Ovis aries: one gene and its partners. The protein of the gene in region 3 purifies or fractionates together with the protein of the main gene of each other region. This does not show direct contact. Links are inferred from orthologs where the notes say so. Each region holds a gene or a part of one and is shown on either strand. Other genes may lie near its edges.

Evidence for each region.
Region 1: the proteins of RABGGTA (region 3) and CHML purify together in Homo sapiens (co-immunoprecipitation; 3 studies listed by BioGRID and IntAct, counting the BioPlex papers as one, with this or other methods). This does not show direct contact. The link is inferred for Ovis aries from reciprocal best matches to the Homo sapiens genes RABGGTA and CHML.
Region 2: the proteins of RABGGTA (region 3) and CHM purify together in Homo sapiens (co-immunoprecipitation; 4 studies listed by BioGRID and IntAct, counting the BioPlex papers as one, with this or other methods). This does not show direct contact. The link is inferred for Ovis aries from reciprocal best matches to the Homo sapiens genes RABGGTA and CHM.

The regions. Positions count from the first base shown.
Region 1 is NC_056065.1:34,433,378-34,441,182, forward strand, and holds the end of CHML (rab proteins geranylgeranyltransferase component A 2), read left to right. Parts: intron 1-284; 5' UTR 285-616; coding exon 617-2,584; 3' UTR 2,585-7,152; downstream 7,153-7,805. UniProt on the Homo sapiens protein: Substrate-binding subunit (component A) of the Rab geranylgeranyltransferase (GGTase) complex. Binds unprenylated Rab proteins and presents the substrate peptide to the catalytic component B.
Region 2 is NC_056080.1:77,647,798-77,656,388, forward strand, and holds the start of CHM (rab proteins geranylgeranyltransferase component A 1), read right to left. Parts: upstream 5,728-8,591; 5' UTR 5,706-5,727; coding exon 5,657-5,705; intron 1-5,656. UniProt on the Homo sapiens protein: Substrate-binding subunit of the Rab geranylgeranyltransferase (GGTase) complex.
Region 3 is NC_056060.1:20,713,105-20,720,644, reverse strand, and holds the end of RABGGTA (geranylgeranyl transferase type-2 subunit alpha), read right to left. Parts: 5' UTR 7,487-7,540; intron 7,339-7,486; 5' UTR 7,287-7,338; coding exon 7,284-7,286; intron 7,125-7,283; coding exon 7,014-7,124; intron 6,635-7,013; coding exon 6,510-6,634; intron 6,320-6,509; coding exon 6,132-6,319; intron 5,878-6,131; coding exon 5,674-5,877; intron 5,369-5,673; coding exon 5,285-5,368; intron 5,199-5,284; coding exon 5,116-5,198; intron 5,028-5,115; coding exon 4,926-5,027; intron 4,823-4,925; coding exon 4,717-4,822; intron 4,621-4,716; coding exon 4,569-4,620; intron 4,427-4,568; coding exon 4,338-4,426; intron 4,236-4,337; coding exon 4,147-4,235; intron 4,052-4,146; coding exon 3,935-4,051; intron 3,319-3,934; coding exon 3,205-3,318; intron 2,947-3,204; coding exon 2,859-2,946; intron 2,208-2,858; coding exon 2,059-2,207; 3' UTR 1,983-2,058; downstream 1-1,982. UniProt on the Homo sapiens protein: Catalyzes the transfer of a geranylgeranyl moiety from geranylgeranyl diphosphate to both cysteines of Rab proteins with the C-terminal sequence -XXCC, -XCXC and -CCXX, such as RAB1A, RAB3A, RAB5A and RAB7A.

The DNA of each region.
Region 1 (7,805 bases), on a different chromosome or scaffold from region 3:
AACCAAAAGTTATAGAATTGTACTCCACTAATTCTTTATTTTTGTGGGATGTTGTTATATCCATTCTTCATTGTTGAATTGCCTGACTTGGAGGAGTCTATATCTTTTGCTTATTTTCAAGAAGTTAGAAAACATGTGAGAAAGCATGTAATGACTTGCTTTAGTAAAATCTTATGTCCTGATATCAAGTTGTGTTCCATAGGATTATAATTGTTGATGCTTGAAATTATTATTCTCTTAGTGTTGTTAATAATTGTATTCTTTCTTGAATTTTCTCCTTTCAGAGCAGAATTCCAGTCACAAATCCATATGTGATACATTTTGACATGCACTGCTAAGATGAAACACAAAAATGAACACCGTATACTTGTTTTATTATTCTCAGATATGATTAGATGTACTTTATCATGGTTTTATGCTACTGACCTAGAAGAAAATAATACTAAAAAAGGGTAGCAGTTGAATACCTGGGACCTGCAACTTCAGTATTTCTGGGATGATCTGGAATATCACAAGGAGAGATTTTATTACAGCATAGTCACACCTTCTCTGAACCCTCAGCCCAGATTCATACACATTTTCTTCATTAGAAGTTGTCACCAGATACTTTTCCAGGATGGCCAACAGTCTCCCAACAGAATTTGATGTGATAGTGATGGGGACAGGTCTGCCTGAATCCATCCTTGCCGCTGCATGTTCCAGAAGTGGTCAAAGGGTTCTGCATCTCGATTCAAGAAGTTACTATGGGGGAAACTGGGCTAGTTTCAGCTTTCCAGGATTGCTGTCCTGGTTGAAGGAACATCGGCAAAACAGTGACACTGTGGAAGAAAGCCCTGCTGCATGGCAAGACATGATCCATGAAACAGAAGAAGCCATCCCTCTTTGCAAGAAGGATGAAACCATTCAACACGCCGAAGTGTTTTGTTATGCCAGTCAGGGCATGGATGGCAATATTGAAGAGCTTGATGCTCTGCAGAAAAATCCTTGTGTAGCATCTAGTACCCTCATAAAACCTCTGGATTCTACAAGCTTGTCTGAGGAAACTCACTCATCACACATTACTAGCTATGAAGTGCCTACACAAGACAACAATGTAGACAACAATCCAAAAAACAATGAAGAAATAACTGATACGGCAGAAACTTCTGTGAAAGAAGAATATTGTGGGTATGATACTTATAAACACACACTTTCAGATGGCACTAAAGATGAAATCAAACCTGTATTGGAAAACAACAGTGTGCCACCAAAGAGAAAGAGGATTGCTTACTCTCAAATAGTTAAAGAAGGCAGGAGGTTTAATATTGATCTGTCATCGAAGTTGCTTTATTCTCAAGGACTGTTAATTGATCTGTTAATCAAATCAAATGTTAGTCGTTACGCTGAATTTAAAAATGTCACTAGGATTCTTGCATTTCGAGAAGGAAAAGTAGAGCAGGTGCCTTGTTCCAGAGCAGATGTCTTTAATAGCAAAGAGCTCACTATGGTTGAAAAGAGGATGCTAATGAAATTTCTTACATTTTGTTTAGATTATGAACAACATCCTGAGGAATACCAAGCTTTCACACAATGCTCATTTTCAGAGTACTTGAAAACCAAAAAATTAACCCCCAGCCTCCAACATTTTATACTTCACTCGATTGCCATGATGTCAGAATCATCTTGCACTACAGTAGATGGCCTTAAAGCAACAAAAAACTTTCTTCAGTGTCTTGGACGGTTTGGCAACACTCCCTTTTTATTTCCCTTATATGGCCAAGGCGAAATTCCCCAGTGTTTCTGCAGGATGTGTGCAGTTTTCGGTGGAATATATTGTCTTCGCCATAAAGTACAATGCCTTGTAGTTGACAGAGAATCTGGAAGATGTAAAGCAATTATAGATCACCTTGGTCAAAGGATAAATGCTAAATATTTCATTGTGGAGGATAGTTACCTGTCTGAGGAAACATGTTCCAGTGTGCAGTATAAGCAGATATCCAGGGCAGTGCTCATTACAGATCAGTCTGTCCTAAAGACAGATTCAGATCAGCAGATTTCCATTTTGATAGTACCTCCAGTGGAACCAGGAGCACATGCTGTCCGAATCATTGAATTATGTTCTTCAACCATGACATGCATGAAAGACACCTACCTGGTACATCTGACCTGTTCATCTTCCAAAACAGCAAGAGAAGACTTAGAATCAGTGGTGAAGAAATTATTCACCCCGTATTCTGAGACAGAAGTAGACAAGGAAGAACTTCCAAAGCCAGGACTCTTGTGGGCTCTTTATTTTAACATGAGAGATTCCTCGGGAGTCAGCCGAAGCTCATATAATGGCTTGCCTCCCAACGTTTATGTCTGCACTGGGCCTGACTGTGGACTCGGAAGTGAGCATGCCGTCAAGCAAGCTGAAACACTCTTCCACGAGATCTTTCCAAGTGAAGAATTCTGCCCCCCACCTCCAAATCCGGAAGACATTTTCTTTGATGGTGATGAAAAGCCATCAGAGCCTCTTGGAACCAGTAATATAGTAATGGCCAAACTAGAATCCTCTGAGGGAAGTAAAAACCTAGAAAGTTCAGGGAAGCACCTTCAAAATTAGAAAAAAAAACAAACTGGAAATGCTACTTTGGGCCTTTGTCCTGGCATCAGAATATTCTCATTTAAAGGACAGTTTCCTATAGGAGTAATTAGATGTGGTTATATGATGAATGTCATGCAGATGTCTATAATTCTCTTTGTGACTTTTAGTCATTGGATGCCTTTGTTAACCTATCAATGACTGATGTATTGGGTATTGGACTTGTTTTGTTTCAGAATGGGCTCCATGACCCAGAATTAGCTTTATTTTAGTACTGGGTATATATGTGAGAGTTCCGTGTTAGCAATGGTGCTTAAAGGAAGATGATATTATATCTGCTGATTATCTTCAAATTTTATTATTGTCTACAGAACGGTGATATCTAAGGAATATTTAAATTATTTTTACAGCTATTACAGTTGCTACCACCTCTGAGTAGTGAAACACAGGAAATTATGTGGGTCTTTTGTTTATAATAGAAACATATAGATATGGTGGCAGCAATAGCAACTAATGCAAGTGCCAATGTGATAAAATATGTAATTGTTGGAAGAATAGTTTTGCATGATCTTTTATTTGTAAAGGTGATGTTTAGAATTCACCTTGCAGTTTAATTCTCCTGGTTGACCCTTGTAGTCAATGAGGCAGTGATGTCATCCCAGTCTTATACATTGGAAAGAGTCAGAGAGTTCAGTTAGTAGTTGCAAAGCTCATTCTTGGGAGGTTTGGTCCAAAGAAAATCTAGGGGGAAAGATTAGTTCTGGTTCAATACTTCAGAAGACTTATGCAGAGCACAAAAGAACTTCTAAGTAATTCAGGCTAAAGAAAAAATAAACTGCTCCAGGAAAAGATATTTCAGAATGCCTGAAGCATTTTTAACCTGGGATTACAGATGGTTTTAAAAATCCATCTGTGAGTAGATTTCCCAAGATTTCTCAATGGAAGTGAAGTATACCATTTTGTTGGCACCACCGCTTTAATTAGTAACACTACAGTTGTTAGGAGTAAATCAGAGGAAGCTTTACCATGCCCCTTTGGTTGTGTCCCAGCAAGTAACGAGGTGGACACCTTCATAATCAGCTCCTGCCTCTTAGCTGTTATCTAGAAGATAGAAATATTTTTTTCCAGAACCACCAGAAGTTATAAAGCTGCTTATATTCTAGCAGAGCAAGCTTGTGAAACTCAGAAGAAGTAAATTTCCTTCCTAAGTCACCATTTCTATTCCTCAGACAGAGAATGATAATCCTATAGGAAATAAGCCCTTTAATTACATTTCTTTTGCCCTGGAACAGAGCATTTACTGTGTGCTACGCACTCCAGTACTCCTGCCTGGCAAATCCCACGGATGAAGGAGCCTGATAGACTGTAGTCCATGGGGTCGCTAGGAGTCAGACACGACTGAGTGGCTTAACTTTTCACTTTTCACTTTCGTGCATTGGAGAAGGAATGGCAACCCACTCCAGTGTTCTTGCCTGGAGAATCTTAGGGATGGGGGAACCTGGTGGGCTGCCGTCTCTGGGGTTGCACAGAGTCGGACACGACTGAAGCGACTCAGCAGCAGCAGCAGCACACACTTACTGTACTCTCTCATTATAGTTTCTCAACAACTCTGTGAGGCAGATAATACATTTTCAGAGAGGAAGTAAAGACAGTAATTCACTCTGAGTGTGATTTGTGGCAGAGCCAACATTGAAATCCAGGCTTCCATGATTTCAAAATCTTTCAACTAATGTTAACTGTTAGTAGAGTGTAGGTACTGAAGGAGAAAGAAAAGATTACTGGCTCATGAGAACCAGTCCAGCATTGCTAGTGAAGCAAAGTAGGCAGACTCTCAGCTTATTACTGAGTCAGAGAAATAGGAAAGTAAAGATTAATTAAAAATACATGTAACTTAGAGCTATGAATCTCACTGAAGTAGAATTTGTCTAAGCTTTAACACAATTATTCTTTTTAATTTACCTTTTGATTATGATGTTATAAAAAGTAACATGTTACTAGGGCAAAATACGCTCTAAATAGACTTTTGTTGCTCTTCTGTATGTGAGAAAAATGAAACAAGAACAATTTAAATTTCAACTTACTGAAGTAGAGAAGTCATGAATTGATATTAATATATATATTTTGAATCTAGCAAATCTGTTATTGCTTGGCTTCTAGGCTTATACTTATCGAAACAAATGAAATGTCTGAAATAGACCTAAAAATTAGTTATTAAAATGTAAAAGAATTTGAGATGTTAAATGGAAGTGAAGGTAACCCAGACCTATTGAAAATATTTTAATTTCAATATGAGGAATATTTTTACTCATAAGAATTTGAGAATATCAGTGAGATGTTGCAAAAGATGATAGAACCACAGTAATAGAAACAGGAAAATGTTAGATTAGATAAAATAAGTGTTTTGAAAACTAAGAAATGAATTTATTATTTTCCTACTTGAATACAAATAAGTTGGAAATAAAAAATTATTACCAGAGAAAAGCATTTTAAAAATTAGAGGAGAGTATAATTTTCTTTTCATCCTTTTTTTTTTTTAAAGATTTATTTTTGATGTGGACCATTTTTCTAAAGCCTTACTGAATTCGTTACAGTATTGCTTCCTTTTTATTTTTTGGTTTTTTGGCTGTGAGGCATATGAGTGGGATCTTAGCTCCCAAACCAGAAACTGAACTCACACCTCCTACATTGGAAGGAAAGTCTTAATCACTGGATCACTAGGGAAGTCCCAACCTAGTATAATTTTCTGACAAACCCATTTTACTGTTATGGGCTTATTGGTGAATTTTTTCAAATGTTCAAAGAATAAATAATATCTATGTACCAGAAAGATATATACTAACACTTGCATTTTGAAGTTAATATCGCCTCAGTACTAGGAGGAAACATTTTGAAAAGGCTCTCATCTGAACAAATGCAAAATATTAGCAAATGGAAAATAGTTATTTACTGTCACTCAGAATTATGCAGTTAGTGTTCAACAGGATAACCATTAAATCAATATCAACAGAACAAAGTAGTAAAAATTCAAAGTATTAACTACAGGTAACTAAAAATATTAATAAAAATATTTATCTCTGTTAATGACTGTGTTGGTTTCTCATTGTGATAAGTAGTTATTAAAACTGAGAACTTATATCATTCCTGTTAGGGAAAAATAAATAATTCTCAACCGGAAATTAAATAATCTTGGTACTATTTTTTGTATATAGTTGAGGAAAACTCATCATTGTAATAAATCCTTAATAAGCATATGTAAATGAGAAAGATAAGGAGAGCACAAATTTTTCCTATTAGTATGGCTTTTAAATTAGTGAAACCTGTAGTATCATAAACAAAAGACTAATTCAGAAAATTGCAGGATATATAATGTTTAAAAATTAATCTTATTTCTAGATTCCAGCAATGATAAGCTACAATTTAAAGTGTTTGGGTATTAGTATATGCAAGCCATTTAAAGAAAGTTACACAACCGTGTTGGGATAAATTAAGAAAGATGCTTATATAGAAGCAGATTGAAGCAGATATACTACATCCTAGTATAATGGAAGGGAAGTAAATAGGAAATCTGAAAACCATAATTGTAGTCCTCACTTTACTACTTACAGTTGTATAATCATGGGAAAATCATGCCTACTTTTCATCATCTATAAAGTAGAAATAATGTTTTCAGAATTATTGCGAGGATTAATGTAAATGAAATTATGTCCGAAGAACTGGCAATAAGGTGAAGTTAGTATGTAAATTTGCTACACTCCCACTTAACATGTATGGATGGATGATTTATATAATTTGACAGAACTGTGATAATTTAGGCTAATAAGCAAGCAAAGATATGTCTTTTTAACTTAGGAGGAAAACGGGATTCTTGCCTCCCAAGAGATGGGATAAAACCTACCTGCATTATACAAGGATAAAGTACTCTATTTTTTAAAAGGTAAATGCAAATCCATAAGGCTTACTCGGCAAATTTATGAAAGAATTAAGTTCAAACAAGAAGATAACAAATAGAAGTTAATTCTTAGAATGGTATTCAGATTTCCTAATATTAAAAATGCAAACTAAGCAACTTTGATGTAGTTCATGCAAAAAAATTTTAGTTGCATGTATCCTCATACCAGTAGCATTATTATATCTGTTTTTTGAAGAACTATTTAGAAAAATATAAGAATCCTATAACCAGTCTGTCTTTTTATAGATCTAATTCACTCTGAGTTAGCATATGCCCAGGAAAATATTTTAAAAGAAAAAAGGCTATTTGTATAAAGATATTTCTAGTGAGTGCATTTATTTGAATTTTTAAAAGAGCCCAGTAATTGGGAACTGGATAAGTAAATTTTCATGTATTGCTATTGCTTTCATAGACTGTTATATAGCCATTAATAGTATTGATATATGTAAAACAGTATGGGAAATGTTTTAATGAGCCTCAAAAGTGTTAAGTTATTGTATTTACTGATTGTGTAAAAATTGAGGTCTCTACATCGGAAAGAATCAATAAAACATTGTAATTAGAGTGTAACATTAAGAGGCCCTTTTTTTCTATAAAATATTGATGTGTGAAATAAAAAATAAAAGATTAATTGATAAAATGGTTTACTGAATTGGAGACAATATTATTGATTTCTTTGAAACTTCTAAAGTTCTCCTTTAAATTAAGAATATATATTTAAATGTTAGTGTCAAAAGATAATCTTCAAAAGCATGGACAGAAAGTTTTCCAGCTCTTGTGGTCAAGATGGATTTTGTGTCTTTTGTATCTTTTCTCAGTTGCCCAGCATTAAGGTATACTATGACTATAGATAGACTTTTTTTTCCCCCCAATGGTAACCTCAGAACCAGAGGTTGAAATAATAGAAATGATATTAATACATTCCAGGACATCAGCATGAAGCCATTATATTGAACACACGTTGTATTGACACAGTCACACAATACACATGTTGTATTCACACATTAAAGTGTATGAATGTCGCTCAGTTGTACCCGACTCTTTGTGACCCCATGGACTGTACAATCCGTGGAATTCTCCAGGCCACAATACTGGAGTGAGTAGCCGTTCTCTTCTCCTTTCCCTTCTCTGGATCTTCCCAACCCAGGGATCGAATGCAGGTCTTCCACATTGCAGGCAGATTCTTAACCAGCTGAACCACAAGGGAAGCCCCACACTAATTAAAAGTATCACGCCAAATCCAAGAACAAACTTCATTTTGGAGTCTTGGAGGCCAGGGGAATGAAAGTTGGG
Region 2 (8,591 bases), on a different chromosome or scaffold from region 3:
CTATTCTACCTCTGTTTTTTTAAATGCTGGAATTGATTCCATGGCCCACAAATAGGTGGCATCTTGCAAAAAAAAAACACAACACAACTCTGCTCTAGACCACAGGTTCATGGATTTTGGGAAATACAGGCAAAAAAAAGCATGGACATCCTCTGAAGTTAGAACCACATACTGGCATCCCAGGAAAGGACTAAATAATACACATATATGAGACATCACTTGGCAGAAAGTCTGGCACAAACAGGTATTTAGTAAAAATCAGTTTCAACTATACCCCTGACAACATTACTACCCCCCAATGTTTCAAGAAGCAATAGTTAGAACCAGACACAAAACAATGGACTGGTTCAAAATTGGGAAAGAGGTACATCAAGGTTGTACATTGTCACCCTGTTTATTTAACTTATATGCAGGGTACCTCATGCGAAATGCCAGGCTGGATGAAGCACAAGCTGGAATCAAGATTACTGGGAGAAACATCAATAACATCTAATATGCAGATGACACCACCTTTATGGCAGAAAGGGAAGAGGAACTAAAGAGCCTCTCTGACAAAGGTGAAAGAGGAGAGTGAAAAGGGTGGCTTAAAACTCAACCTTCAAAAAAATAAGATCATGGCATCCACTCCCATCACCTCATGGCAAATAGATGGGGAAACAATGTAAACAGTGACGGACTTTATTTTGTTGGGCTCAAAAATCACTGTGGATGGTGACTACAGCCATCAAATTATAAGACCCTTGCTCCTTGGGAAAAAAGCTATGACAAATCTAGACAGCATATTAAAAAGTAGAGGCATTACTTTGCCGATAAAGGTCCATCTAGTCAAAGTTATGTTTTTCACTAGTCATGTATGGATGTGAGAGTTGGACCATAAAGAAGGCTGAGCACTGAGGAATTGATGCTTTTGAACTGTGGTGTTAGAAAAGACTCTTGAGAGTCCCTTGGACTGCAGGGAGATCAAACCTGTCAATCCTAAAGGAAATCAATCCTGGATATTCATTGGAAGGACATGCTGAAGCTGAAGCTCCAATACTTTGGCTACCTGATGAGACGAACTGACTCATTAGAAAAGACCTTGATGCTGGGAAAAATTAAAGGCAGGAGGAGAAGGGGACGACAGAGGATGAGATGGTTGGATGGCAGCACCGACTCGATGGACACGAGTCTGAGCAAGCTCTGGGAGTTGGTGATGGATAGGGAAGCCTGGTGTGCTGCAGTCCATGGGGTTGCAAAGAGTCAGACACGACTGAGTGACAACTGAACATCAAGAAATTCAGCTGTGCTACCTACATGACCATTCCTGATGAAAGCAGTTTATCATTTCCAAGAAAATGATTCTTTATAAGCTGCTCTGATAGAAAAATTTCTGAAAACACTGACTTGACTTCAGATGAGGACTACATAAAATTTAGTCTTTTCTCAAGGACCCAGTGTCATAATTATGCACACACAATGGTAAATTTTAGAGTTGGGAGATGCCTATCTTAGAGGTCACCTAATTCAAGTCTCTCACTTTACAAATGAACAAATTGATGTTCCAAGATGTTATACAACTTGCCCAAAGTCACCTAGAAGGAAGGTTAAGTGATTCCCTTTATGCCAGGATGCCACAATGACTGATTCTGGACTATGCTGAACATGATATAGCAAGACAGTCAGGATTTATGAGCAATATCCCTGTAATTTCCCCCATGTTTTTCATTTTTCTTATTTCATTTATTTCCCCATAATCTTTAGCAATAAAATTCTTAAATGAAAAGGATCCACGTTTGTCCTCTGCAGGAAAAATGTTTAAGCTAGTCTACTCCACAGCCCATTTGGGGAAGAACTCCAAAATATAATATGTGTGATGTACTTTAGAAAGGAAAGGGATGCTGAATAAATCTCTATGTGGTCTTCAGAAAGCAAGAAAGATGCAATGAAAAGCCCACATTGTCTTAGAACAGCTCTGAGCATGTGACTATCAGGAACCCCAAACAGCTCCTCAGAATAGGTAACACAGTAAACGTCACAAGGGCAAGGACTAGGTTCTCAATAATTCTGGGCTGAATATTCTAAAAAATGTTTAGTCTGTCCCTATGCCAAATGGTCCCAGGTCATTGTGTTGCCTGATGTAGGTTTGCATTTTAGGTGTTTGCCTTTCCCCTTTCACATTAGGCTATAAACTGTCACTTAGGTCTAATGACACCCTCCAAACACAGCTTCTGCAGCAGTTGTTAACATCTCCTGTGTCTTCTCTGGAAGAAGAAATGCCAACCCACTCTAATATTCTTGCCTGGAAAATCCCATGAACAGAGGAGCCTGGTGGGTTACAGTCCAAGGGGTCACAGAGATGGACACGACTGAGTGACTAAGACTTAATATGCTCTGAGCATGCTAGAATTTTCTAAAATAAGAATGAATATGCTCTAAGTGAAAGAATGAGGGATTCCCCTATGTAAGAAGAATGCCAATAATATCCCATGATGCTTGTAACTTCCATCCCACCTGCTCTTATGTTGAATTGATGGCTCTGCTTCAGGTTACAGATTATACAAGATGCCAGATAAGTCACATCCAGTGAGGTGCTATTATGTTATTATGTGACTAGGACGATTTTTAACCTGTGACCAATGATACTTCTCTGTAACCTACAAAGTTATTATTAAAATGTCTTTATAGATGGAATATGTCTTAAAAATTACAACCGTGCACCCAAACTGAAGGCCACTTTCTAGACACTTATCTCTACATCTATTTTTTTTAAGATAATTGTCATGATTTTTTTTCACTTTTAATTTTTTTTTAATTTTATACTGGAGTCACTATTCCATTTCTGTTCTCTCCCTTGAGGCTCCATTTGGCCCTCCTTCCTTTTTTCGGTTTCTTCTATATTTTGCACGGTTTAAGAAAACAACTCTGTTTTCAGGTGTTTGAGAGATTATTTCCTGTATTTTGTAATCAGGAGTAAATGGGCTTAACTAAGAAAATACATACAAATATTTATTTTCCCATAATCTCTTCAAAACATGACCTTAATGAAAATGTTATATTATGAAGAATGAAAAGAAAAACAAGTTAATCAAGGCCAAAAGGATTTAAAATAGTATCCACAGGTTATTTTACTTGATAAAGCAACTGTTTCTTTATGACATTTTAACTAAAACTAAATCTGCTAAAAGAAAAACTGCATCTCATAGCCCACTTTCATGTTTCTGATACATGCATGATTAATTCTGCTTTTGTTATCAAAACTGAATCTTTGAAATACTGATTTTTCTGATTGACTCAAGCTAGCACACTTAGTAAGGCAAACACATCTTAAAGGCCACTTTCAGCATACTATTTCAGAAGAGAAATATTCCAAACACATTAAAAATCACTTAGTCAATAATGATTATAATTATTGGATTCATTAATTTGGGAATGACTTTTACCTAAATACAAAGCTTCAAATCATAAATTTAAACAACGTGCTTGAAAAGTTAAAGTGTTCACTAAGTGATATGAAAACCTCTAACTCAAATAAGTTCTTCCCATACTTTGAGAAGTAACATTACTCTCATGTTAATAAGTCTAAAATGAATCTTTTTCCAAATAAGCCAGATGTTTCCTGATGCAATTTTCTGGATCACTCACAGAATCTTCCTACCTCTATCATAACAGACTCCAGGAAGATGGATATAGTCCATATTACAAACTGAACTAGAGAGCAAAATATTTCTTATATAATAATTAACAGCACTTAAGAATTGCCACTTATCGATTAAAATTTTGATCAAGAAAAAATATTTTAATGATACAAAGTAATTTTTAAAACGCCCTAAGTTCCAAAGTACAACAAACAAAGGGAGTAACACAGGACCCAAGTATGGTATAACAACTATTCTAAAATGGATACTGTTCTAAGTTTTAAGATAGACTGGAGAGAATAAATAGAGTCTACTGACTCCTTCTAGCTATCATCCAAGATCTGTTCATAGCAGCTACAGCAAGGTAATTTGTAGCCATGCAATTCTCAGGTTGAGAATAAACATGTCCTTACTGTTTTGAGAACAATCACCCATGTATAACTAGAATAAGTGAATTTTTTGTTAGACAACACTGGAAAGGTTATTTAGTTTATCCTGCCTATATTCAAAACCAAGGAAACTGAGGCTCTGAGAGATTAAGTTCCTAACCCTAGAAATTCACACAGCTGGTTAATGGCCAAGCAAGGTCTACAACCAAGTTTTCTCAGTTATTTCTATTAATATGGTTTAATTCTGAGTGTCAGAACTACTGATTCTCCTTTTAGCATACAATGGACTTTTGGAAATTTACCAGCAGTGCGATCTTGAGCAAACTGCAACCTTTTTAAGCCCTTTTTCCTCCTCTGTAAAGTGTACAGAATACCTATTCTAACAAAGTTATGAGGATTACATACGATTTGTAAAAGAGCTTAGCACACGGATTAGCAAATAATCACTCGAAAATAGGTATTTTTACTCCCGACCTGGAAACATGGCTGCTCCTACTGTTTGAGAAGACAATGAGCTGAATTTATTAACACAATGGACAGGGTCTCATTCATCAGAGGTTCTCCAGCCTACCACATTCTGTAGACAGGACAAAACCCCATCCAACAAACTATTTCATCCCATCTAAAATTCACCCTTTACACTGTTAAGAAAAACAAAATAACAACTTTTTCCAAATGTTTTCTGCCACGTGTTGTACGTGTAATTTGTCAACTAGAAACTGCAGAGGGAGTTCTGGCACCACCCAAAACATGAAGAATCAACCGTGGACAAACAAGAGAAAGAAACGATCACACACCAGAACTGGACTCACAGAACTTGTTTTCAGCTCATTTAGCTGTGGGTAGATAGGTGGCTAGAAGAAAGCAAAATGATTTCTTTCAGCACCATAAAGCAGGAATAATGGCTACCTCAACAAATTACAACCCCCTAGGCTTTGGACACGACTGAGCGACTTCACTTTCACTTTTCACTTTCATGCTTGGGGATGGAAATGGCAACCCACTCCAGTGTTCTTGCCTGGAGAATCCCAGGGAGAGAAGCCTGGTGGGCTGCTGTCTACGGGGTCGCACAGAGTCGGACACGACTGAAACGACTTAGCAGTAGCAGCAGCACGCTTCTCAACACAACAGAAAAGAATCCACTTCCTCGCCTTAGTACATTTAAACATAAATGGGTAACAAATGAGTAACAAACTGTATCCGAGATGCACTGAACCCTAGGACTATATAAATATATGAAAAATTCCTATGAAATGGCGAGACAAAATGATGGGGAATATCACTTTGAAATCAGCGAGGAAATTATAATGTCATGCCATGGTGTCTCCATCGATAAAATTCCCACCCTCCATTCTCCTGACACTGCAAACCCTCCTCCCTCTAAGGAAATTACAGGAATCACCGCAGCAACCAACCTCAGCAATCGGCATCAACCATATCGACCCCTACTCAAATGGCGCTATGCACCGCGGGTCCAAGCCCCTCCCTGGAGCGCCCAAGTCCCGCGTTGACTCCAGACTACCTCACTTCCTTTCCGTCCTCCCTCCCACACTCGACCCCAACATTTCTCGCCGACCCTCGCTCCTGACAGAGAAGGTAGGAATGGGACAGACTTCCTACACTTTGTCCAGGTAGTACCAGAGCCACACATACCCGTCCCTATTACGATCACATCAAACTCCGAAGGGAGATTGTCCGCCATCTTAACAGGAAACGTGTCATGTGACTGTTTCTTGTGCAAATAAGATCAAGTTCCGCACTGCCGCGGTAGATGGCGGAAGGGAAACAGTGCATTCTGGGTATTGTAGTTATCGAGTGGTGGGTCCTGGTAGGAGGCTACAGCGTTGTATTTGAAACTTTTTAATCGAACGTTAAAAGCTCCATTCCTTTTCCAGGCTGAGTACAGTAGCGCATTTAGCCTGGAGTTTTGAGGTAGAAAAGAGTTGTAGATTTTTACTCTGATGGCTAGGATGAATGGTAGGAAGACCTGCGAACTGCTTGACAATAATGAAGCAAGAATTGTTAGGAGACACGAGGGTGGAGTGAAATTGAAAGGGAATTGTTCTGTGAACAAAGGAAATTTTCATTTCAGCCTGGAAACTGTTTCCCTTAGCGTGTCTATACTTTCGTTTTGGCCCCCAAAGCATAATTTTTCACACCAATACCTTCATACTCTATTGCTTATCTTTTTTTGTCTTTGTCGCCCCAATAAAAATCCACAAAAAATCTCTCCCTAGTTTCGCTGGAATGGAACCTCACTGCATCTGTATTTGTTCTAGTTACTCCAAACAGCCACCTTGGCTATATATTAATATTGGTTGCAGGAGGGAAAAATGAAAGCACAGTAGTTGCTTGATACGCGTTAACTGATTCTGAATCTAGTCTCATACACGTATACAAAGAGTTCATACAAGATTTTCCCAATAAGGTCCTGCAGAGATGATCTAGGTAAAGTGGCCTTTGTATTCAAGTGATTGTATTTGATGAGGATTAGATTGCCTCTGCCAAGCAGCTAATATAGCTCTCGTAAGTATTTTCAAGGTTGGCCTCCTCCCACCTGCACCCTCACCCCCCTTACTTAAAATGCTTTGCTGTCTGATAATACCAAAATAAAAAAGAAAAGGAAGGTGCATGGGAGTGAGGGAGGGTACTTTTTTGATCCCAGAAATTCATCGTGTAGTTTATTTTACCAGAGTTTCAAAATAATTCAAAGAAAGTGCCGCGTTGGACCATTCTTTACACCACCTGTCTGACCTCTTGTTGTAGTTCTGCAGCCACACAGTTGTTCCTCCAGCATGGAATGATCTTCCCATTCTCCAGGTAACATTTATCCCCAAGACTCAGTCAGTCATTTCCACCACGTCCTCCCTGCATTTCTTCCCTATATTGGGTTAAATTTCCCTACATTTTGCTACCACTCTGTCATAACCGCCCATATTGCACTAAAAATTATTTGTGTTTATGTTGGTTCCTATACTGGACACATAGCCCCCAAAATACACACCCAGATATACCATACCTTAAATTATAAGCCCCTAATTATAGGAGTTGTGCCTTACTTATCTTTTTACCCCTGCATCAAACACAATCCTGGTGTATAACAGGAATTCAGTAAGTGTTTGCTGAACAACTTAGCTCTGATTCCGCTAATGGTAAGTACTATAGAGACAGGGACTGGGTCTTCACCTTGATAGCTGCCCATCACTAGCATGTATCTTATATTTTGAAGATGCTCAATACATGTTCGTTACCACATTAAGTTCCATAAAAGTCTTTAAAATTGTATTTTATTGGGGTTTTTGGCTGCACTTTGTTGAGTTTTGTGACAATCATTAGCAACATCATACAGTGTTGTATTAATATCACTTATGGAATCTCTTCTTGTATTGAACAATACTTTTGTGAAAGTGTCCTCTGACGAATGTTTTGTGTAATAGAGATTCCTCTGAAAAGGGAAATTATTGTCTAGCAAATCACTCTGCTATTTGACTTGATACAAATAGAAAGTTTTGAGTAGTATCAGAAGTGAAATAGACCTTAACTGTGAGATCTGTGAGACTCTTAATACCATCAGTGGAAATAAAAATTAATAGATTTACCAGAGGAAATGCAAAAAGCTTTCTGAAATCTCTATTTTGGAGATGGGTGGGTGGTTAAAAACATGATAAATGAAAGTATTTTTGTCTTTGGAGATATTTGGGTATATGTATGTGTGTGTATATGTGTGTGTGTGTGTGTGTGTGTGTGTGTGTGTATCATTTTCAGTATGACCATATCTAACTTTCTGTGGATTCAGAAATTTTCTAACAAATATAATCACACTGGGAAGACACAACTCATTAATTCATTTAACTTTCCTTAAATACTCATTGAGTACCTACTATGTGCAAGTATTTAGATACTATGTGCAAGATTTAGATGCTGGAATTACAGCAATGAACATGTCTTTATGAATTTCATATCTAATGAAGTAAAAAAAAATAATTACTCTGTAGTATAAATTTTCCACTATGTTTTCCCCCAGATTTGAAATACTATTTTCCCCCAAAGCTAGAGAGCACAACCCTCAAAAAGATAAAAATGCCACCCTAGGACTTCCCTGGTGGTACAGTGGATAAGAATCCTCCAGCCAATGCAAGAGACACAAGTTTGATCCCTGGTCCAGGAAGATTCCACATGTCAGAGCAACTGAGCCCCTGCGCCACAACTAATAAGCCTGTGTGCTGCAACTACTGAAGCTCGTGTGCCTAGAACCTGTGCTCTGCAAAAAAGAAGCCACTGCATTAAGAAGCCCGTGCACTGCAACAAAGAGTAGCCACCACTCACCACAACTAGAGAAAGCCTGTGTGGAGCAATGAAGACCCAGCACAGCCATAAATAAATAAAAATAATTTTTTAACAAAGTGCCAGCCTATATTTAGCTGCCCTTTCTCTGAAGTTATCACATCCTCTCTGGGCATAGAAAAGATTATTATATTAGGAAAATGTAAAGTGTCTTCATGGAGAAAACACTCAAAGTACTTTTTCTTTCCCATGTATTTGTGTTAATCTTTTGCAAGGCAAAAGTGAATGTAGGGGTTGACAACAT
Region 3 (7,540 bases):
AGCTCAGAGGGCAATGGGCCAGGGGCCACCTCTATCCAGCAGACTTGCTGTTCCCAAGCCCAGGCTGCCTGCCTGTGTCTCTGAAACTGTCCATGGGCTGGCTCTAGGACCTGTCCAGCCCAGGGAGGTCCCTGGATCCCAAGTTGTTAGAGACTGGTGACATCAGCACCTGGCCCTCAGACTGGCTCCACCAGCCAGCCCTTGACCTGCCGGCTCTACCAGATCCTCTGACCCTACCATCCACCTGTTCCTCCTTCTTCCTCTGGCTCCGCCAAGCCCCCAGTATGAGTGAGAGCTGCTTCCTGCTCCCTGGGTCCCTCCACCTTTGGGATTAGGAAGGTCAGAGTGGAAGCGATCTCGTTTTCTAATGGTCACCCTTCCCCAACCCCCAGGGGTTTGGAGGTGACTTTAGTCTTTGCTCTGGGGCTCAGGTGGAAATGAAGTCTCTCTCCCCAGTCTGCAGAGTACCCCTTTCTTCCACTGAGACAAATGTCTGGTGAGCTGGAGGCCGGAGTTCTCAACTTGGAATTCTTCCTAGGAATCCTGACCAACCGGCTGCAGGCACCTGCCCAATTCCATCCCAACCCTGAGAGAAACACCACAGAGGCCACCAACAGAACCCCAAGGCAAAGAGGAGGTCAGGCATCTTCCGGAAGGTTGGGACCCTGTTCTTAGGTTCTCTTCTCTCCATCCTGCCATTGTCCCAGCTCTGCCCATGGGACACTGAACAGAAGACAGTAAAAACAGGGAGGGCAAGGAGATACAAGGAAGCTGCCTGGAGGAGAGGCTGAGTTTGGTGATGCATGTGGCAGGGAGGTGCCTAGGGGAGTGGGGACAGAGGCTCCAGGACCTAGCAGAGCCCTCCGCATCTTCATGACCTTTTCCTGTCCAAGTCTAAGCTCCAGACCTGGCAGGGGGTGGCTAACCCCACCTCCAGCACATTCAAGAATAGAAATCACACTAGCAGAAATAAAATTTCCAGGCAGGTCAGCCAAAGGGCTTCACGGAAGGCTGTTTGTATATCACTCCAGATACAGAAAGGACAGGGAGGGCCCTGAGAGTCCAGTGTGTGTACATGTAGGCCCAGGTAGATTCTCAGGGAAACAGGAAAATGCCTGGTCACATTCTCTCCCTCCTGTTTCAATCAATCTTTCTGTTTCCCCACCCAGCCAGGTTTGACTCAGGGCCCTCACCCCTGAGCCACTCCCCTTTCGTCCCAGGAGGCTCAAGTGCCGCAGGGCTTTCAGAGTCAGGACAAGGTACTTGTGTGTGTTGGAGGGGGGACCCTGGGAAAAGACACTATCTTTGTACTTTAGGAGCTAAGGCCAGGTTCTGCCCAATCCAGAAGCAAGAACATGAATCTGGAATCCCAGACCAAGTTACAGAGACAGCTTTGGCTCCAGCACTTGAGCTCAGCAACCTTGGGTACGTCTGAACAGCAGTTTCCTCATCAGCACAATGGGCCTAATCATCTCAGCCCTGAGAGCTTGCGGGGATCAAATGGGATCAAGTATTTTCAAGCGCTCTTTATCCTGGGCATGCTACTCATGGAGACTAATAGTGTTGTTATAAGACAGTGGAGCCAGGGCACCCTGAACACACCTCCTGGGAACAGCTTTGGTGAAGGAGAGCCAGGGCAGACAGGGTGTCTGGAAGGGACACAGATCACAGAAGAAACTTCTCTCAGCCTTTCTAGTTGGAGAGACTTCCAGGTGCTTTGTAGCCCCACTCAAACTAGAACCTGAACCCAAACCTGATGCCAGCCTGGAGGTTAGGCGCAGCCCAGCCCCAAAGCAGAAGGCAGACTCCAATCCAGCCGTGGCCCTGATTCTGCCCCCAACATGGAGGTTCTGCTTCTCCCCGACAGGGAACAGCAAGACTGAGCATGAAACGGAAGCACAGCGGGGGAGCCGACATATCTCTCTCCTTTTCTTGTCCAGAAAAGCAGTGGTGACAGCAATAACGGTGGTGGCGGCAGCAGCTTAGCAGTGCTCAGGGACCTCCTCATTGTTTATTCAGTTCCAATAAGTTAAAGGGCAAGGGTGGGGGCAGGGCCTCTTAGGTGAGGATGCTGCTAACCGAAGGCAGCAGCTCGGCCAAGTGCTCCGAGCTGCCCTCCGCCTGGCACAGCGGGTTGCCCTGCAGGTTGAGGAGGGTCAGCCTGGGGCAGGAGGCGAGAGGCTGGAGCACCGCAGGCTGTTGGAGGCCTTGGGCAGGAGTCAAGGAAAGCTCAGCTGGTTCTCCAGATCCGCCTGCTCCTGAACACCTGTCACTGCAGATCGAGCACTGCTACTGAGCAGCCCGCTGGATGGGCCCCTTGGCCACTTCACTGTAGGACACAGGCCTCTAGGCTGCAGATACCTGCCCCTGGGAGCCAGGCAGGAGGCACAGGACCCTGAGGGGATATGGTCCCGGAGGAGTGGTGGAAACTATGGCCAAGGGGAAAGCCAGCCCCTGCTGCAGAGGCGCCCATGATTCATCAGTGGCCAAGGGCTCCCAAGTGGAAATGCAGGCCAAAGCGTGCTTCAACTTACACATTTGAGAATAATCAGAATTCTAGATTTTTAAAGAATATAAAACCTCCTGATTTTAAACATACGATGTGGTACCCAAGAACATCTGTAGGCAGTGGTTTGTGAACTTAGGTTTGAGGGAGTCACTTCCTTCCATCCTGCAAAACTCTACCAGTGAGAGTCAATGACAGCCTCATACAGCGCCAGACTATCCTCTTCTCAGTTCAGATGGCCAATGCCCCCTCCTCACGCCCGGGGCATGCCCGCCCTGCCTCTTGGCCATCCCTTCCTGGTGTGGCACCTTGCCCTCCCTGCTGTCTGAATGGCACCCAGACGGAAGGATACGGTTGTTACACAGGACAAGCTCCTGCAACCGGGGCAGGTTGGTGACACCATCCAGGGATTCAATTACGTTATCATTGGCCTGCAGCACCTGGGAGCAGGGAAGACAAGGCAGGTAGGCAGGCAGCTGTCAGTATGGGATTTGTACAAGCCACCGGGGAGCCCAGGGTGATCAGCTTACAGGGCATGGAAAGGCTCCTGGGGTCAGGCTGGGTGACAGAAGAGAAGGCTGGGGTCATCTGTGGGGGCTGGGAGGACCCGGGCATCTCTTAGTAGGGTGGAGTGACTTGTGAGGTGGAGGAAGGGGAAAGGGAAACCCAGAACAATGACAGAGGATTGGGGGCTTTACCTCAAGGCAGCGCAGGGCAGCCAGAGCAGGGGGCAGGGCTCGGAGACGATTGTGTGACAGGTCAAGGTGAGTGACCAAGAGCAGCTGCTCCAGATGGCAGAGCACCGTCAGATCCTGAGGAGGGGGACGAGATACCCAGCGAGGCCTGGCGGACAGCTCTCAGCTGTCGTTTATCAGGCCTTTGCCCAGTGCGCCCCACACAGGCCCTGGGGGGTCCCCAGCTGAGGACAGGAGGGAGCAGCTGGGAAGCATACCTCACCACCCCCAGTAGTACATGCTCCTGATCAGGGACACGGGGTCGGGGTGGCCTGTAGTGCAGGGAGCGGGGCAGGTACACGGTGCTGGTATGAACACAGATACCAGTGGGAGAGGGCCCAGTGAGCCCGGAGTTGGATTGGTGGGAGCAAAGGTGGACAGCAGCACCGTGATAAAAATAACGTGTTGGGGAGATTGATTAGGAACGACTACAGAGGAAAAACAGAGTCAGGAGTTTGTCAGGAATCTCTGAGAACTATTCAGCTGTTAGGTGTTGGGGTCTGCCCCAGGGAGAGAAGCATGGAATGAGCTAAGGAAGAAATGTCCAGAAGGGCACGTGAGATGGAAGGCAAAGCGGGGGACGGTGAGTGTCTTGGCTGAGGCCTGAGGAGCAGATATAGACACAGCCGGTCCTGAGGAAGAGGGAGGCGGGCCAGCGGGGTGAGGGTGGGGGAGGCGCATGCGCACGCCCTACCTTGTGACCCAGGTGCAGCACGCGCACCTCCGCGTACTCCATCTTGAGCACGCTGTTCTCCAGCAGGAACTTGCTGCGCAGGTCGTCCAGGTACGCTGCCCTCATTGGGTCCACAGCCTGGCGGGGAGAAGAGAGCACAGGGGCTGTGTGTCAGCTGCCTGGCCGCTGCGTGCTGGGCTGCCCCGGTGCCAACTCCCGCGGACCCAGCTTGCCTTGAGGGTTTGGAAGTACTGCAGGGTCTCCTTCTCGTACTGCAGGGGGTCCAGCGCCCTCATCAGCAAGATGATGGTGAGCAGGCACCCTGGGGAGAGGGTGGGGATTAGGACAGAGGGATCCTCCTGGCAAGGAGCCTGCCTAGGATGGGCCCCCAGAGAAGCAGGAGCTCGGGGGAATCGGGCCTCACATTTATTCTCAGGCTCCAGCTCCTGCAGCTCCTTACAGGACTCCAGCTCCGACTGTAGCACGGTGGACTTCTCCACTGACAGCTCACACCTGAGGGTGGGCAGGGTGGGGGAGCAGTGCTGGTCATCCCCAGTAGCCAGTCTGAGACATCTGCTTGAGCCCTCAGCACCCCACCCAGCTGCCCAGAGTGCACAGCCCTGCTCCTATCCGTGTGCTTCCCTGTGCTCATCACCTGAAGAGCTGCTCATCCGTGGCGGAGTCCCGGCACCAGCCCTCTTGGCGGCCTGAGAGACAGAGCAGGGGTAGGAGAGGACACCCATGAGACGAAGACAGGGATTGGGGGCGCTGCTGCAAAGGGGGGAGGCTGCAGGCTGGCTCACCTTTTAAGAGCACACACTCCTTCTGGGCATCGCCTGCTGTCCAAATGACACGAAATGTATGCTGGGGCAATTGGTCGTTGAGGGAGGTGGCGGGCAGGTCACAGAGCTGGGAGCACGGGGTTAAGAGAAAGCCCAGGCTGCACCACTTTTCTGACTGTCCCACCCCAGCCCTGTCCCAGCCCCGACTCCACCCACCAACCCTGGGATACCCAGACGTGGCTAGGCCGGTTCCTGCCCTCTGGGGTCCTCCACTCCACAGCCAGGGGTGACTCATCAACCATGAGCAGCAAGGTCTCCATGCCGGAGCCCACCTGATGCAGGGGACAGAGACAGACCATCACTCCAACGGCACCAGGCCCACCATCCACGGTACCCTTCAGCAAAAGCTTCGGGACTCACGAGGAGAGGCCGAGAGAAGGAGACAGTCAGGCATGCCTCATCCCGGCTCACGTGCAGGCAGCGCAGGGCATCCTGGGGATCAGCTGTGAGAAGAAACAGTCTCAGGTCTCCTTAAATATCCTTCCATTCCTTCTTGGCTCCAATCCCCCACTTCTTCCCTACTGTTCACCTCGTCCCAGGAGCCAGCGATGGTAGAACCAGGCACTCTGATCATTGGGGTCAGTGAAGAAGGCGTTCTGCACCAGCTCCAGCTCTGCAGGGGCCAAGGAGGCATGGTGCTTTGGTTAGGACCCTTCTGGGCTCCTGTCTACCCCTACATACTGCCCTCTCTTTGGAGAACTTCCTGCCTTCAGTTTCACTTATATGCCAGCCTTACCCAGGGGCTGCGTACATCAGGAGCCAAGTGGACACTTGGGCTCTCTGCAGCCAGGGGCTGGATCTTATGCATCCCCAGAGCCAGGCATTTTCCCGAGTGGTAGGTTCAGGAGCAGGCCTAGGCATCAGGGTCAGAAGGGCAGCATGGGAGAGTCCTCTCAAGCACTCCCTGACCCTGCTTACCTTTGAGCAGCACATCCTCAGGGAGGCGCCCCTGGGGTCCAGAGTCTGGCTGAGGGTGCAGCTGGGGCAAGAGGCAGGAGCGGTAATGCCAGGAGGAGTAGTTGGAGAAGTTTCGGGTGATGAGGCTGTCAGTGAAGGCAAGCTCCTCTGCAGGGGGCACAGCTGCCTGTGCAGCCACAAACCGCCGGTAGTCCCAGCAGTGAACTGGGGGGATAGGCAGACAACACATCTCAGAAGCAGGGCAAGAGCTGCCTGGCTGGGACCGTGGCATCCCCTTGGAGACCCCAAGAAACACCTCTGTGCCCTCCATGGAGGACACATTTGGCCTCGTCATCCCTTGTGTCATCAGCTCAGTGGACCCATCCTGGCCATCCCTCCCAACTCTGGACCTTACTGAGGCCCTAGTACCGGGACATGGGGCAGGTGTAGGCAGAGAGACAGAATCTGCAGGCACGTACAGTTCCGCTCGTCAACCTCGAGGAAGCGGGCACACAACTCCAGCTCCCGGGCCCAGTTGGGCTCTGGCAGGCGGCCCAACAGCCAGCAGCGGTGGTGCCAGGTACCATAAGACTTGGGGTTCACCCTCAGGCAGCTCTCCAGGAAGCCCAGTTCTGCCTTCACCAAAGCGGCCAACTCCTCAGGGGACCTGTGCCCAGAGGAATGGGGGTCAGGGCCCTCCAACACCCAGTCTCATTTCACCCTTGACTTTTTGCACCTAGCCCTCCACTGCCCTCTGCCTATGCCCCTGGCTGCCCCATTCTTCTTCCACCCCTGGACCTAGGCCGGGCAGGGCCAGAGCGAGGGCCATCTTCCTTGGGCCCTAAACCTCTACATACTTCTGGACCTCCAGCTGCTGGAGCACCTCTCGTCGACAGTTCCAGAGGGTGGCAAAGTCAGGGTTGGCTCCCAGAATCTGGCTTGTCAGTTCCAGCACTGACTCATCCAGCTCTCCAGCCTGGCGCTGAGAAGATAGATAACAGGATCAGGGATCACATCACTCTTCTTCTACAGAGCTCCATAACATAAATAGAACTACTGAATGTTCTGTGAATGCCACACTTTACTACAAGTACTATACAAAGCCCTTTATGGGATAATATGTAATCTTGCAATCATTGATTTTCACAACAGCCTTATGCAGTAAGTACAATCGTTAGCCCTGTTTTACAGATGGGCAAATTGAGGTCCAAAGAGATTCAGTAGCTTGCCTAAGGACACACAGCTAGTAAGTGATAGAACCTAGATGTGGATTCTAGCAACCTGACTCTAAGGCGCAGTTCTTGGTCAAGTGCTATGCTAAGGGAGCCACGGTGGGAGGGGACTACCTCTGAGGGCCCCACCTTCTGGAAGACAGTCTGGGTGGCTGCCTGGTATAGCTTCAGCTTCTGTTCCCGCTCTAGTCTTTTGGCTTCCGCTTGCTCTTCCGATGTCTTCACCTTCAGGCGCCCGTGCTATGGTTGCAAGAGTGCAGGCTGCCTTGCTGGGGCAGACCCACCGGAACCACCCCTGCGGAGCCCCAGGTTTATATCGGGAAACGGAGGCAAGCCCACGCCGGACAAGGGCAAGGGCGTGCGCATGCAGAGGTGAGGAGCTGGGCTCAGGGTTCTCACCATGGTGCTGGCTCAGATTCAGGGCAGGGGAAGGGTCCAGTGGTGCCTGTGAAACCTGGCGAAAGACGTGTCAATCATGGGAGTCCCGCCCCTCGGAGCCCCGCCCCTCGATGTCCCCAGGAAACCGTGAGCAAGCCCGGGCGGAGACCCCTGGGGTGTTAAGGGGTCCCGGGACAGACACTGCAAGTCCAGGAGGAACCCACCCGAACTGGTCTTGCACACGTGCGGCCCTGCCTACAGCCCGATCCGCCGGAGCT